Tribolium castaneum: one gene and its partner. The protein of the gene in region 1 purifies or fractionates together with the protein of each later gene. This does not show direct contact. Links are inferred from orthologs where the notes say so. Each region holds a gene or a part of one and is shown in the gene's direction. Other genes may lie near its edges.

What was found. Proteins that work in one complex are often made in the same cells at the same time.
Region 2: the proteins of cact (region 1) and RpS3 purify together in Homo sapiens (affinity purification with western blotting; 4 studies listed by BioGRID and IntAct, with this or other methods). This does not show direct contact. The link is inferred for Tribolium castaneum from reciprocal best matches to the Homo sapiens genes NFKBIA and RPS3.

The regions. Positions count from the first base shown.
Region 1 is NC_087395.1:1,373,515-1,379,913, reverse strand, and holds part of cact (cactus), read left to right. Parts: intron 1-2,392; coding exon 2,393-2,748; intron 2,749-6,399. UniProt on the Homo sapiens protein: Inhibits the activity of dimeric NF-kappa-B/REL complexes by trapping REL (RELA/p65 and NFKB1/p50) dimers in the cytoplasm by masking their nuclear localization signals.
Region 2 is NC_087402.1:7,604,165-7,610,721, forward strand, and holds RpS3 (ribosomal protein S3), read left to right. Parts: upstream 1-3,040; 5' UTR 3,041-3,082; exon of another isoform or gene 3,083-3,156; intron 3,157-3,732; exon of another isoform or gene 3,733-3,785; 5' UTR 3,786-3,835; coding exon 3,836-3,865; intron 3,866-4,053; coding exon 4,054-4,420; intron 4,421-4,475; coding exon 4,476-4,633; intron 4,634-4,686; coding exon 4,687-4,857; 3' UTR 4,858-4,900; downstream 4,901-6,557. Other genes in the region: cathepsin O, read right to left, coding at 1,840-2,146, 2,196-2,698, 2,745-2,924; Kr-h2 (Krueppel homolog 2), read right to left, coding at 5,784-6,015, 6,065-6,198, 6,251-6,318, 6,392-6,557. UniProt on the Homo sapiens protein: Component of the small ribosomal subunit. The ribosome is a large ribonucleoprotein complex responsible for the synthesis of proteins in the cell. Has endonuclease activity and plays a role in repair of damaged DNA.

The DNA.
Region 1 (6,399 bases):
AAACTGAATTTTTGTTCAAAAATGTGCCCGAAGGCATGAGTAATATATTTTTTTTTAAGTTTTGACTGAAAAATTTGCAAAACATTCGAGAAAATAATTTAATTTTTGCTATTATTTGTTAATTGTTTGGTTTATTTTTGATGAAATTTTTAAAGTAATTGCGTTCCTGGCTATTACAGAATAATGACATTTTTGACTTCTTTCGATTTATCAAATATTTGGCAAACGTATTTAGCTTAAAAACTGTTTAGTGAAGACTTGAAAAAGGCACAATTTTAATTTTTCGATTTATTTTTTATTAAACGTAAAACAATTTCATTTCATACCACAATTTTCAACTTCATTAATTTTTTTAAAGTTTATTTTAATGAAATTTCGCAACGTAATTGCAATTATGTCTAAAGAATAGTCTCATTGTTGACCAAATTTAGTGACATTTGCTTTATTTTTGAAACAGTTTTTATAAATAGTTTTTGACGAAAACACAAAATTAATGTAGAGCTTTTTTTAGGCGAAATTTCTCAACTGAATTTTTTGCTAAAAAATGTTCTGAAAGGCTTGAAAGAGACATAAATAATACATTTTTTGACGAAATTTTGTGAAAATCAAAATTCCGATTAAAATGTTTGCTTGAAGACAGAAAAAGTCGAAAATAATCATTAATTACGATTTTTGTAATTTATTTTTGACTGCATTCATTTTCGACCCAATTTGGTGATGTTTGGAATTATATAATTTTTTATTTCTGAGAATAATTAATTTTTCCTTAAAAATAATGACATTTTCGACATTTATTAAACTTCTCGTCTACTTTTCAACTTATTTTTGACGAAAATTTACCAAATAATTGAATTTCACATTAAATTATTTTCGACTTAATTCAGTGATTTTTCGTATCTGGCGAAATATTGGCTTATAGCCAATATAACTCATAGCTAACACTGTTTTAACTTAAATTTAGAAGTTTTGCGAAATAATTGCGTTAAAAAGGCAACAGGAACGATATTTTTGACTTTAGAATATTTTATTTTGTGTTGAAAGTTTAATAAAAAATTTGCACAAAGTATACCATTTTCGTTTTAATTTGATTATTTTTGTGCAATTTCATGAAAAAAATAATTATTTCAAATAAGATTGTGCAGAAAAAGTTCAAATAATCAAAATTCTGATTGAAAAATTTGTAAAGAAAATGCGAAAATAATGTAATTTTAGAAATCGTTTGACAAGTTTGTTGTTAGTTTTTAACTAAATCTTGTAAAATTATTACCATTTTTAAATTGCTTGTCGATTTATTGCAAAAAGTTAAAAAAAGCATGTAGGACACCATTTTCGATCTAATTTGGTTGTTTTTGGATTTTTTTTATCAAATTAGTTTCCAGTCCTAAGAAGTACACTTTTTAACATATTTAGTGACTTTTGGTTTATTTTGGCAATTTTTTTATAGTCACATTTCTGACTGAAAAAGTTAATAAAACACTCATCCAGTGATTTTTCGTATCTGGGGAAATATTGGCTTATAACCAATATAACTCATAGCTAACACCGTTTTAACTTTAATTTAGAAATTTTGCGAAATAATTGCGTTAAAAAGGCAACAGGAACGATATTTTTGACTTTATAAATTTTCGTAACGGAAAGTTTAATAAAATATTTGCAAAAAGTACTATTTTTGTGCAATTTCATGAAAAAATAATGATTTCAAAGAAGATTGAGCTGAAAAAGTTCAAATATAATCTGACTGAAAAATGTGTAAACACCGAGAAAAGGCGAAAATAATTTGATAAGTTTGTTGTTAATTTTTGACCAAATTTTGGAAAATAATTACGTTTTTGGGAAATGAATAATGACATTTTTAAATTGCTCGTTGATTTATTTTAAAAAGCTGAAAAAAATGCAAGTAGAATGTCATTTTCGATGTAATTTGGTTGTTTAGTTTCCTGTCTAAATAATTTAGTGACTGATTTAATTCATGAAACATTCTGATCAAGCAGAAATCAGTGAATGTTCTAAACTAGGTTTGATGTGATTTTGTACGCAGTTTTGAGAAATAGTTGCTAGTATTATTCGAAAATAGCAAATAGTAAGAGTAATTTCGTGCTTTGTTTAATAAAATTTTTTACCTAATTTCGAGACATTTTGGTTAATTTAAAAAAAATTGTATTGTTCAGTGACTAAGTGCAATAATTGAGTTATTGCCACTTTTTCGGTTTAATTTTGACTATGTATTTTCGAATTTCGAGTCATAAAACAATCACTGAACTTTGTGATAAATCGTTAGCGCTGGCAACACTGTCCTGGTACGTTATCGTACTCTTCGTAGTAGTGGGGAGATCGGAACTAAGCACTCAACTCGGAATTTCCAACGTCTGAATTTGACCTTTCTTTCTTTCAGGTTCCTCCACTTGGCGATTGCCGAAGGATTCGTCGAGGTAGTCCTTGCTTTAATCAGGAAAGCTCCCCACCCTTTGTTCCTTGACACCCCCAATGATAACGCCCAAACACCAATCCACCTCGCCGCTGCCAAACAGAACTGGCTAATAGTTCGGTGGTTGGTGGTGGCAGGTGCTAAACCCTGTCCCAGAAACATCCGAGGTGATTCACCCTTACATATAGCAGCACGAAATGGTGATTTACGAACATGCAGAGCCATCACCGATCCAGTACAAGAACAAGAAAGGATATCACTTGGTTTAACTTACCCCAAACAGCCCTATCAGGAGATCAATCTCGACCAATGGAACTACGAAGGTGAGTTGTGTTAATCTCTTGTTTTGGCTTGTGGGTTTTCCTATGATGTAAAGCAACAATGCTGTTATTGCTCACAGGAAAAATAATTCTTGTAATCACATAACGGAACTCGACGAATTATGACAGTTAGAGTTGAGAGAATTAATTTGTTTAACCTTGATTTGCTGGGGTTGTGGTTACTGATTGTACAAATTTGCAGTTGCATTGTTGTGTGATTCAAAAATGGCATTAAGTTACTCATCATAGGCTAATTGCCAAAACAAATTACAAATGTGTCAAGATTACAAACGTCCAGCTGTTTAAAACTGCTTTAAAATAATTGAAATACGTATGTATAGTACAGTCACGATAAAAAAATCTTTTTTGATATGATACGGATAATGTGTACATTTGGATAGTTTACAAAATAACTAACCTGTTTGTTGAAATTATGATTTTAATCGCACTTTTGGTATCCGACCCGGTTGCTAGGGGTGTCATACTTTTTGATGGTGACTGTACATTGTACTTTATTATTATTATTATTTTAAATTCAAATAAATGGTTACGTTTAATATTGCAAATTAAAAAGTTGGGTTCGATCCCTGATACCGCCATTTTTTTTTTATCTGAAATCAAGCGTCTTAAAAGTAGAGTAAAAATAATAAAAAATAAGACCAGTTTACCAAATTTTTTTATCAATTTCATAACAGTTTTTTTTTAATTTTATTGACAACTCAAACTAAATATTTATATTATCGCAAATTGAAAAAGTTGTGATTCGATTACTGATACCGTCAAAAATCTGTTGTGGTTACTGATTGTACAAATTTGCAGTTGCATTGTTGTGTGACTCAAAAATGGCATTAAGTTACTCATCATAGGCTAATTGCCAAAGCAAATTACAAATGTGTCAATATTACAAACGTCCAGCTGTTTAAAACTGCTTTAAAATAACTGAAATACGTATAGTACAGTCACGATCAAAAAGAAAACCGCCGTCACATATCTTTTCGATATGATACGGATAATATGTACATTTGGATAGTTTACAAAATAACTAACTTTTTTGTTTAAATTTTTTGGTATCCGACCCGGTTGGTAGGGGTGTCATTCTTTTTGATGGTGACTGTACATTGCACTTCATTATTATTATTATTAAATTCAAATAAATGGTTACGTTTAATATTGCAAATTAAAAAGTTGGGGTTCGATCCCTGATACCGCCATTTTTTTTTTTCATCTAAAATCAAGCGTGTTAAAAGTAGAGTAAAATAATAAAAAATAAGACCAGTTTACCAATTTTTTTTATCAATTTCATAACAGCTTTTTTTAATTTTATTGACAACTCAAACTAAATATTTATATCATCACAAATTGAAAAAGTTGTGATTTGATTACTGATACCGTCAAAAATCTGTTTGTTTTACCTGTTTTTTTTTTTAATTTTGAAAACTTGTAAGTGTTATTTTCGTTGTAAATTAAACAAGAAATGGGGTGTGATTTCTGATTCAGGCAACCTTATTTTTTTCCTTCATTCCCCCCCAGCCCACTTAACAACACTTTTAAAACCAGAATAAGATAAAAGTAAATAGAGAGTTTGTTTCGTATTTTTTTTTGCGAAAACAGTTGAATTTTTCCTGGATCTTCAGACACTTAATTTATTGCAAAATCATTGTTTTTTAATTTTCAAAACTGTTTAAATGCTTCGTCGTCACAAATTCAAAAAGTTGGGGTTTGATCCCTGATACCTCCACCTTTTTTTTCCTTTATATTAAGCGTTAAAACAACAATTAAAATTGGCATATAATAAATTTGAAATCAGACGGTTTTGCCATTTTTTTTTTTGATAATAAGTCGATTTTATCTAGATATGGAGATATTTGGATTCTTGCAAAAAAAAAATTATTTTGAAAACTTTTATATCGTTGCAAATGGAATCTTTTTTTCGTCTTATATCTTAAAACAACAAATTTAAAACTAGAATAATAATTTTAACTGGATTTCTGTCGCTTTTGTCAACAGAAAAAAAAACTCAAATTGATATTAAATATTATGCCTCGGCTTCGCCTTGGTGAGCCAAAAGCACTCATTTTGTTTAATTACTCTTTCTGAATAATAATTTATTCGAAAATCCAATCAAACACACCGTTCTTATTTTATGTTTAAAATTCTCATACAAGTCAGAAAAATAGTCTCAAAAAAACACTAATTGGTTTTTTGAAAATAACTCAAGTATTGACAAATTTTCTTTGATTTTGTAAATTTTAACTAGCTGTTTTATTGTCACTAATTTGAAAAGTTGGAGTTCAATCCCTGACACCGCCAACTTTTTAAAACAGTTATTTTGAATGTAGACTAAGATAAGTAACAAACCTCTGTTTTACCTTCTTTTTTTGAAAATAAGCACAATGTTACTTGGATTTCTAGAGACTTTTACATATCTATCGTTAAGATGGTTGTAAAACCAGAGTTTTGTGTTTTGAAAACTCAAATTAAATGTTTTTTTGTCACAAATTCTAAAAACTTGGGGTTCGATCCCTGATATCGGCAACTTTTTTTTCTTCATCTGTCAATCATTTAAACAACAGATTTAAAGTCACATAAATAAAATTTAATTTGTGTTACGATTTTTTCTTTTTTTTTTTTTTCATAACATCGAAATTTTCTGGATTTGTAAACATTTATTTATTGTACACATCTTTTAGATTTTTATAATTCACAAAAATCTGTTTTAAAACTAGAGTAAGGTAAAAGAATCACTGTTTCACCAAATTTTTTTTTTTCAAAAAAAGACGAGTTGTTTTAATTAATGTAATTCAGACTAAATGTTTTACGTTGCAAATACATAAAGGTTTGAGCCCTGATACCAATTTTTTCCTATATCGAAAAATGCCCGGTTTTTTTTTCGAAAACAGTAAAATTTTACCTGGATCTGTAGCCATTTGTCCGTAAAATTTCCCGTGATTAATACGAGATTTGTCACTAACACAAAAAATTGTTTTGGTCTTTCATTGCGATTTCTTTTACAAGAATCATTATTTGCGAAATTTCGCTGATTACTTAACTTCGTAGTACATTTCATCACACATCATTAAAGTACAAAATATGTGTATAAAATTAGAACGAATCACGTCAACAATTGAGCAAAAATGATAAATAAAACAATAAAAAAAACAAAAGAGTGATGACCTCTAAGCCGTCTATCACTCAATAAGACATTAGCGTAATTGTTGACCCTCTAAACATTAATTGCCGAAAATGACTTTACTATTTACCGTCAGTCACGTACGCATGCATCATTCGATTTGTGTGACCCCCTCAAAATAAACCACACCGAGTGCAAAAACGCCCACGAAATCACGCGCTCCGATTTTTCGTCAAGTAAAAATAGAACGACGCATTGTTTACAGGCGGGAAATTCCCAAAATTTTGAGACGCTTTGTGAATATTTGACTCGAAGTAGGATAATTTTTATTTACTATTTAAGTATAAATTACGGAGCACTATAACTTAGGAGACGAAACGAGATACAAAATCGCAGGATTTTCTGAACCCAAAAAAATAGTACTGCAGAGTACTAAATGAGGGCGCTTCGAATCTCAGCGCCAAATCGTTTTAAATTAATTTAAATCCAACCAATTCATTTATTATTTGGAAAAAATGCATAAA
Region 2 (6,557 bases), on another chromosome or scaffold:
ATAATAATGTGGGACATGATCGTAGACGTATTATACCTAAGTTATTACTAGTTTATTAGTTATAGACTTGGAAAAAATACAAACACGATACACAGTTTGCTCCCGATAAACGTTCGCTTTTCGCAGCTTTGATGTAATCAAAGGTAAGTATCGCGAGAATCCACACAAAGAATAATCAAGTTCCAACAGCAATTTCATTACGAATAGCTAATATAATAAACACCCTCCAGTTATTCCAATTAGGTACACGATCCAACAAAAGAAAAAAGTCGGAACTTTGTAAGCCATGTTACCTACTTGACTGTAATTTAGTTGACGTTCTTAATTAAATAACTAAGTGAGCAAGTACCTACTACAAAAAGACTAAGGTAAGCACTTCGTATCAGAATAATGGAATTACAAGTTAAATGATCGCTCTCAGCTTTTACCACGTTTAATTGTACGTCTCTGTGCAATAAAAAAGGGTTTTATACATTTCGCCTCAGGTGAGGTTGTTCTGTTGTCAATAATAATAATAATAATAATAAGGCAGTAAGCCACACTCCAAAAAATGTCAGTATAAATACTTCCTACAAGAATTCCATCAACGACTTGTTTAACCTGATAAACATCTTCTAGTTTTACCTTTAAATGACATTCTAACGTAAAAAATTACAATCCAAAGTTTTTTTGGCGAAACGCAATACGAAGTCGTTAGTAGGTATAATGTAACCATTAGTCAATGCAAATGTTACTGATTTAATAATAATATAACGCTAATCATGCGGAAAAATCGCAGGTAAGTGTTTCGAGGTTGATCATTACGTAGCATTATTATTAAAGGAGCAAAAATAAATACTTGCAAGACACTGTGTTATTCAAACGGGATAAATAAAATATTTATAAACTATTTTTTGAGGAAATTATTTTCACCAGCCCAGATCCCCTTCCCTATCAACACTGTGAGCTGTTAAAATTCAAAATAGAGCCGCGTCGGCCAGATTTTTTTCAACACATCGATAATTTGGCGAAAAGTCAACATTTCTGGGTTTTGAGTTTTCAAACTCACTGTATTATTTTCCGTGTGTAAGGAAATTTTGCCTAGCAAACCACCACAAAAGTTAAATTTATTTTTGAAATGGATAATTATGATGTAGATTAACTCAATTACAGGGACAGGATTAAATCAAACAAAATGTTTCCGTTAAATTTATATTTAGAAAAATAATAACTACCCATTACCCACAGAGCAATTAAAAGAACAAAACTTTAAAAAGCCTAAAATAACACCTTTATATTTATGTTACTTCTAAAATTTAATGCAATGGCCACTCTTAACAAAAATCTTGAACACAGAGAGGCTTTTTTATGTAAGTATAGTGCACATGTCCCTGGTTAAAAACATTTTTTTTATTTCTTTCTCGAAAATCTTGACGCAATATCGGATTTCTTATTTAAGCTGCAGCAAAATTTGCTATAAAAATGTACCAGTATAAAATTAGGTATAGCAACAAAAAATTAGGTAACAAAAGAGAAATGGCTCTGTATTATTTAGACGACTTTAAACCACTGGAACTGGAATCCGTTATGAAATACGTACCTGCTTTTATAAAGGGAAGGACCATGAAGCTTATTTATAAAAAAAATGTCTGACGCAACAACAAACTGAAGATGTGTGAGTTTTTTTCACAAAAAAAGGAGTTAATTATTACAAGCTCATTGGTGGCGACCAGTATTTATTTTCAAGGACTATGGAAGAAAAAATACAATAATAAAAAAACATTTATTCTCACTTGGTGTATAAAACCTATACATTTTCTACATAAAATGGATACACTTAAACATCACTATCTAAATAAATCACAGTACTCTTAATGCTGAGACCTCGTTTGCGATCCCACACATATTTTTATCCACAGCTATGTACAAAAATCCCCCGTCCCCAAAGTCCACACCCCACGTATTCCTGACAATATAATGCGGAATACTTGCAGTCAAATCATACCCAACAATCTGGACAGCATGATTTAACTTTGACGGATCCCCATCACAGTGATACTCAATAACACCTCCAATGTAATTCTGCCAAGTTTGCGCATTAATCGCAACAGCCAGGGGTCCATTATCCGCCAAAAGCCTCAACATAACATCTTCAGACCCCACTAATCTGAAAGTTTCCATAAGAAAGAATAAACTTAAAAAATAACTAAACGAACCCTTCACACATGAAGTCTCTAACATGGACACCAGCCGAGCCCCGGCCACATTTACCCCCATAATCGGCGTGTCTTTGAATCGTGAAATTTGTGGCTTTGATCCAAGACAGTAAAGTGCAAATATCGCCCCCATTGCACCCTTTGTTGTTACCAGCGCAATCGATAATTTCTTGCACACTGAGCTCCTCAGACTTGTTGGTTTTGATGGCGTTCATGGACTCCACAGTTTCAATAACAGAGTAGGCCCAGCAGGCCCCACAACTGCCTTGGTTGTAAATTCTAGTCACTGCGTTTTTTTCTCTCCAATCTACTTTATTAGGCACTGTTGCTCGTTTATGGTGGTGTCGTTTTGGCTCATTTGAATGCGTCTTCTGACTCAGGTTTGATTGTAAATAGGTTTGGAAAAATTCCTCTGGTAACAAGTCCGAGAATTTCGTTAAACCGTACAGTGCTGAACCATTCCTTTTTTTGGAATTCAAAGTCTCGATTGTTTGTAGTGATTGCTGAAAAGCGACGTTATACAACAAGGACACAAATTATAAGTTTTACCTTAAATGCATGAAGACGGTTTTGATACACAGAAGGGTCATCGTATGTCTTGTTGAACCTTTTCAAGTACTCTTGAAATTGTGATTCGGCTTGGTCTGGGCCTTTTATTCTTATAGGGATAACGAAAAATAACAGAGCAATGTAGAAAATCGCTTGCAAGTAAGTGCTCCACGAAGCCATTCTTATCAAAACAGATATTTTGGTAACAATGATAATATTGAACTATTTGTCGCTATCGCCATGTTTATTAATTTGATTATCTTGAAACACAATCCTGGCCCAGTTAAGTGACTGAGTGGAACAGAAATTTATAATGAGGGTGAATGAGGTTTAAGCAGGTATTTTTTGATCCACATTGTATAAAATGTCACGACATAACCTCAACGTATGTTGTCAAACCACAAACATAAAAAATAGATGACAGAAATTAACAAAATTACCAAAAAAACTAGAGAATTTATTTATTTATTTTTGTTTTTAATTTATTTTTGCCTATGGTCTTACATTGTTTTACGCAACAGTTGCATAAATTATTCGGTCCAAGATCTTTCCCCAAGATAATATTTTACATTTGGCGCAACTTGTGTAGAATTACATTGCGTTTATTTTCTCAATTACGGCGAAAATATACGACAAAATTGAGATATTTTCAATTATTCGTATGCAAAATTGTCTGGAGAATTGATTGGCGTCGTAAATTCGTAATAGTTTTTCAAGTTATAAACCGAAATAGATTTTGGCTATTTTTGCATTTGTTAGCAATAATAATATTTTTGGAAACTACCAGTAGCAGGACAATGACCTTTTTTTAAACGATAGATGATTAAAAAGAGTTCTGAACACATAAAAGTTCATAAAAGTTGTTGGTTTGGTTGGAGCTACTCAGATAAAAAAAAAATAATTTTTTGAAGGTAAAAAAACTGAAAAAAGAACAGTCTTTTCATTACGTTATTTACCCGATATGCAAGAAAGTTTTCTCTCCAAAAATTATTCAAATAAGCCGCCTTGTAAGCGTCCTCTATCACATCCCTTCCCAATTAGGTCGACTTCCGCTCGCCACACGTCAAACCTTTTCCATTTAGAACGTCAAAATGGCGACTCCAATTTCGAAAAAACGCAAGGTAAATACCAGAAATTGGCCTTTCCATCCACTTAAACATGTTTAACTCTTCATTAGAGCCCAAAATCTTGTAAAATAAGCACACATGTTTGGGCTAACATTCATGTTTACTTGTTCCCCAAACCATAACCCAACATTTTCCCACATGTGGTCCCCAGTTCACCGACTTGATGTTGCGCTTATTTGTAGTTTGTTGGCGATGGCGTTTTCAAAGCCGAATTGAACGAGTTCTTGACTCGTGAATTATCAGAAGATGGGTACTCCGGGGTTGAGGTCCGAGTCACCCCAACTCGCACGGAAATCATCATCATGGCCACACGTACTGACCGTGTTTTGGGGGAGAAGAACCGTCGTATTCGTGAATTGACTTCAGTCGTACAGAAACGTTTCAATTTCCCCGAAAACTCAGTCGTTTTGTATGGCGAGAAGGTGGCCAACAGGGGTCTGTGTGCCATTGCACAAGCAGAGTCTCTTAGATTCAAATTGATCGGAGGTTTGGCCGTGCGCAGGGCTTGCTATGGTGTTTTGAGGTACATCATGGAATGTGGCGCTAAAGGTTTGGACATTTGGCTCAAAACGTATTTTGAATTAATTTAGTGGTTATTTTGCAGGGTGTGAAGTTGTAGTTTCTGGAAAACTGCGTGGCCAGAGAGCCAAATCGATGAAGTTTGTTGACGGTCTCATGATCCACTCTGGGGACCCATGCAATGATTATGTGGACACAGCCACCCGCCACGTCTTGCTAAGACAGGGTGTGCTGGGAATTAAAGTAAGTTTTTGTAAAATTATTGGTGTTTGTATGATGCTATTTTGTTGTATTAGGTCAAGATTATGTTGCCGTGGGACCCCAGCGGCAAAACAGGCCCCAAAAAGCCTCTGCCTGACAATGTCTCTGTTGTGGAACCTAAAGAGGAGATTTTGCCTGCCTACCCCAGCAGTGAAATCAAAGCAGTCAAACCTGACGCACCACCAGCTATTCCAGTAGTAGCTTAAAGTTATCATAAGATTAATTTTCAATAAAATTCTGGAAAGATAACTTTCGTTTTATTTTAATACCAAGAAAAATGCCCTTCCTGTTTCAACCTTATTCCTAATTTTGCCATTGGGAATGTTTTCTCCCTTCTAAAAAAAGAAATTCCTCTAAAGCAGTGAGTCATTAACTGCGACGTGTTTTATCGACATTTCAGAAAATTAGCTAAACTTTGGAGCTACGTAATTTCCAACTAAGTAAGATTTTACAAAATGACACGTAAACAAAAATTTTGGCGAAGCAACTAATTGTTGAGTGAAAAAGGCAAAAGCAGCGTAGATAATTTCCGTTTCTTTTTGAACAAAATATGGTTTAAAAATGTGCTAAAGTAAGCATTTAAAAGACATCGTGATTCTGTCCGTTTTTAAAGGAATTTCGCAAAATAAGAGAGCTTAAAGCAATTTTTAATTTTCGGCCTGTTTACTAAATGTTTATCTCTGAACTGGATCATAGTTCGTAATAACAATAACAAAAATAAAAAATGGGAATAATGAAGAATAATGGGAATAATGAAGAGTATTTCAATAAAACGCCCTTTTTTAAATATTTTTTTATTGTGAAATTACAAACTTTTGCTTATTAACATAACAACATGACATGGAGAAAATTTAATTCGAATGAGTTTTACAACAGAAACCTCCATGAGCACAATGCATTTATAACGATATAACAAAACTACTTTACACCATCCATACTAAAAATTAATAAAAAATCATTCCTGGGTTAAAAGTATATAAAAAGTAACGGACGAAATTTTGCAACCATACCTCAAATTCGTGCAAAAAATTGCATGAACATGTACCAAACAAGTGCAAATAAACAATACTAGGCGTTAAAATTACCCATATCACGAACATTTGATATAATAAGGATACATGGAACAACTAGCTCACTGCTGATGCTGGGCTTGCACCTGGGGAGGTGCTAACTTAACAGTGAAATTGATAATCCCTAGCAAGATTGACTTCACAAAGGAAGGTAGATTGGGCTTTGCTGCGGTCTTTTCGAACAAGATTCTGAGTTCATGGAACATGTTTCTATTGTAAGGGTTACGCCTTGATGTGTACCTTTGAGTCAAAAAATGATAATAGATAAAAGGCGTCAGTAGACTAGCCCGTCCCCTGCAAAAACAATTTTTATAAAAAATATTACCCCATTTAGATTATTTACATAGCGACAAAAAGTACAGTGAGTGGCATCATAATAATCTCAGTGAATGCGATCAGTCTCAAGATATTTAGTGACTGGAATTCGACCAAAGATATCAAGAGGCGGGCGCCCCACCACGAGTTTTGGCCCAAAGTCTGAAAAACAAAAAATTACTAAAACGTTACTAGTGCTGTTACTGACTATTACATCAAGTAGAGTTAGTGAGTAACTGGCTGAATGTAGAATAGCGAACAGAACCACTGGCAACAAAACCACTGTATTCTAGTTAAGGAAATGAATTCAGTGCTGCTCTAATTGAATCAATTCACATTAATTAGAGAAGGATACAGGTCAAGGGTGCCACATAGATAAAAATCATGGAATAGAAGAGATAGTGGCAGCTATCCTCCATCAACAACTGTGCCACAAACTCCCGACTCAGCCTAACCCTCCCCAACCTCTGGTGCAGCCTGAGGGCGTTAATGGCAGCGTTCGCAATGAGCGCCTTGTAATA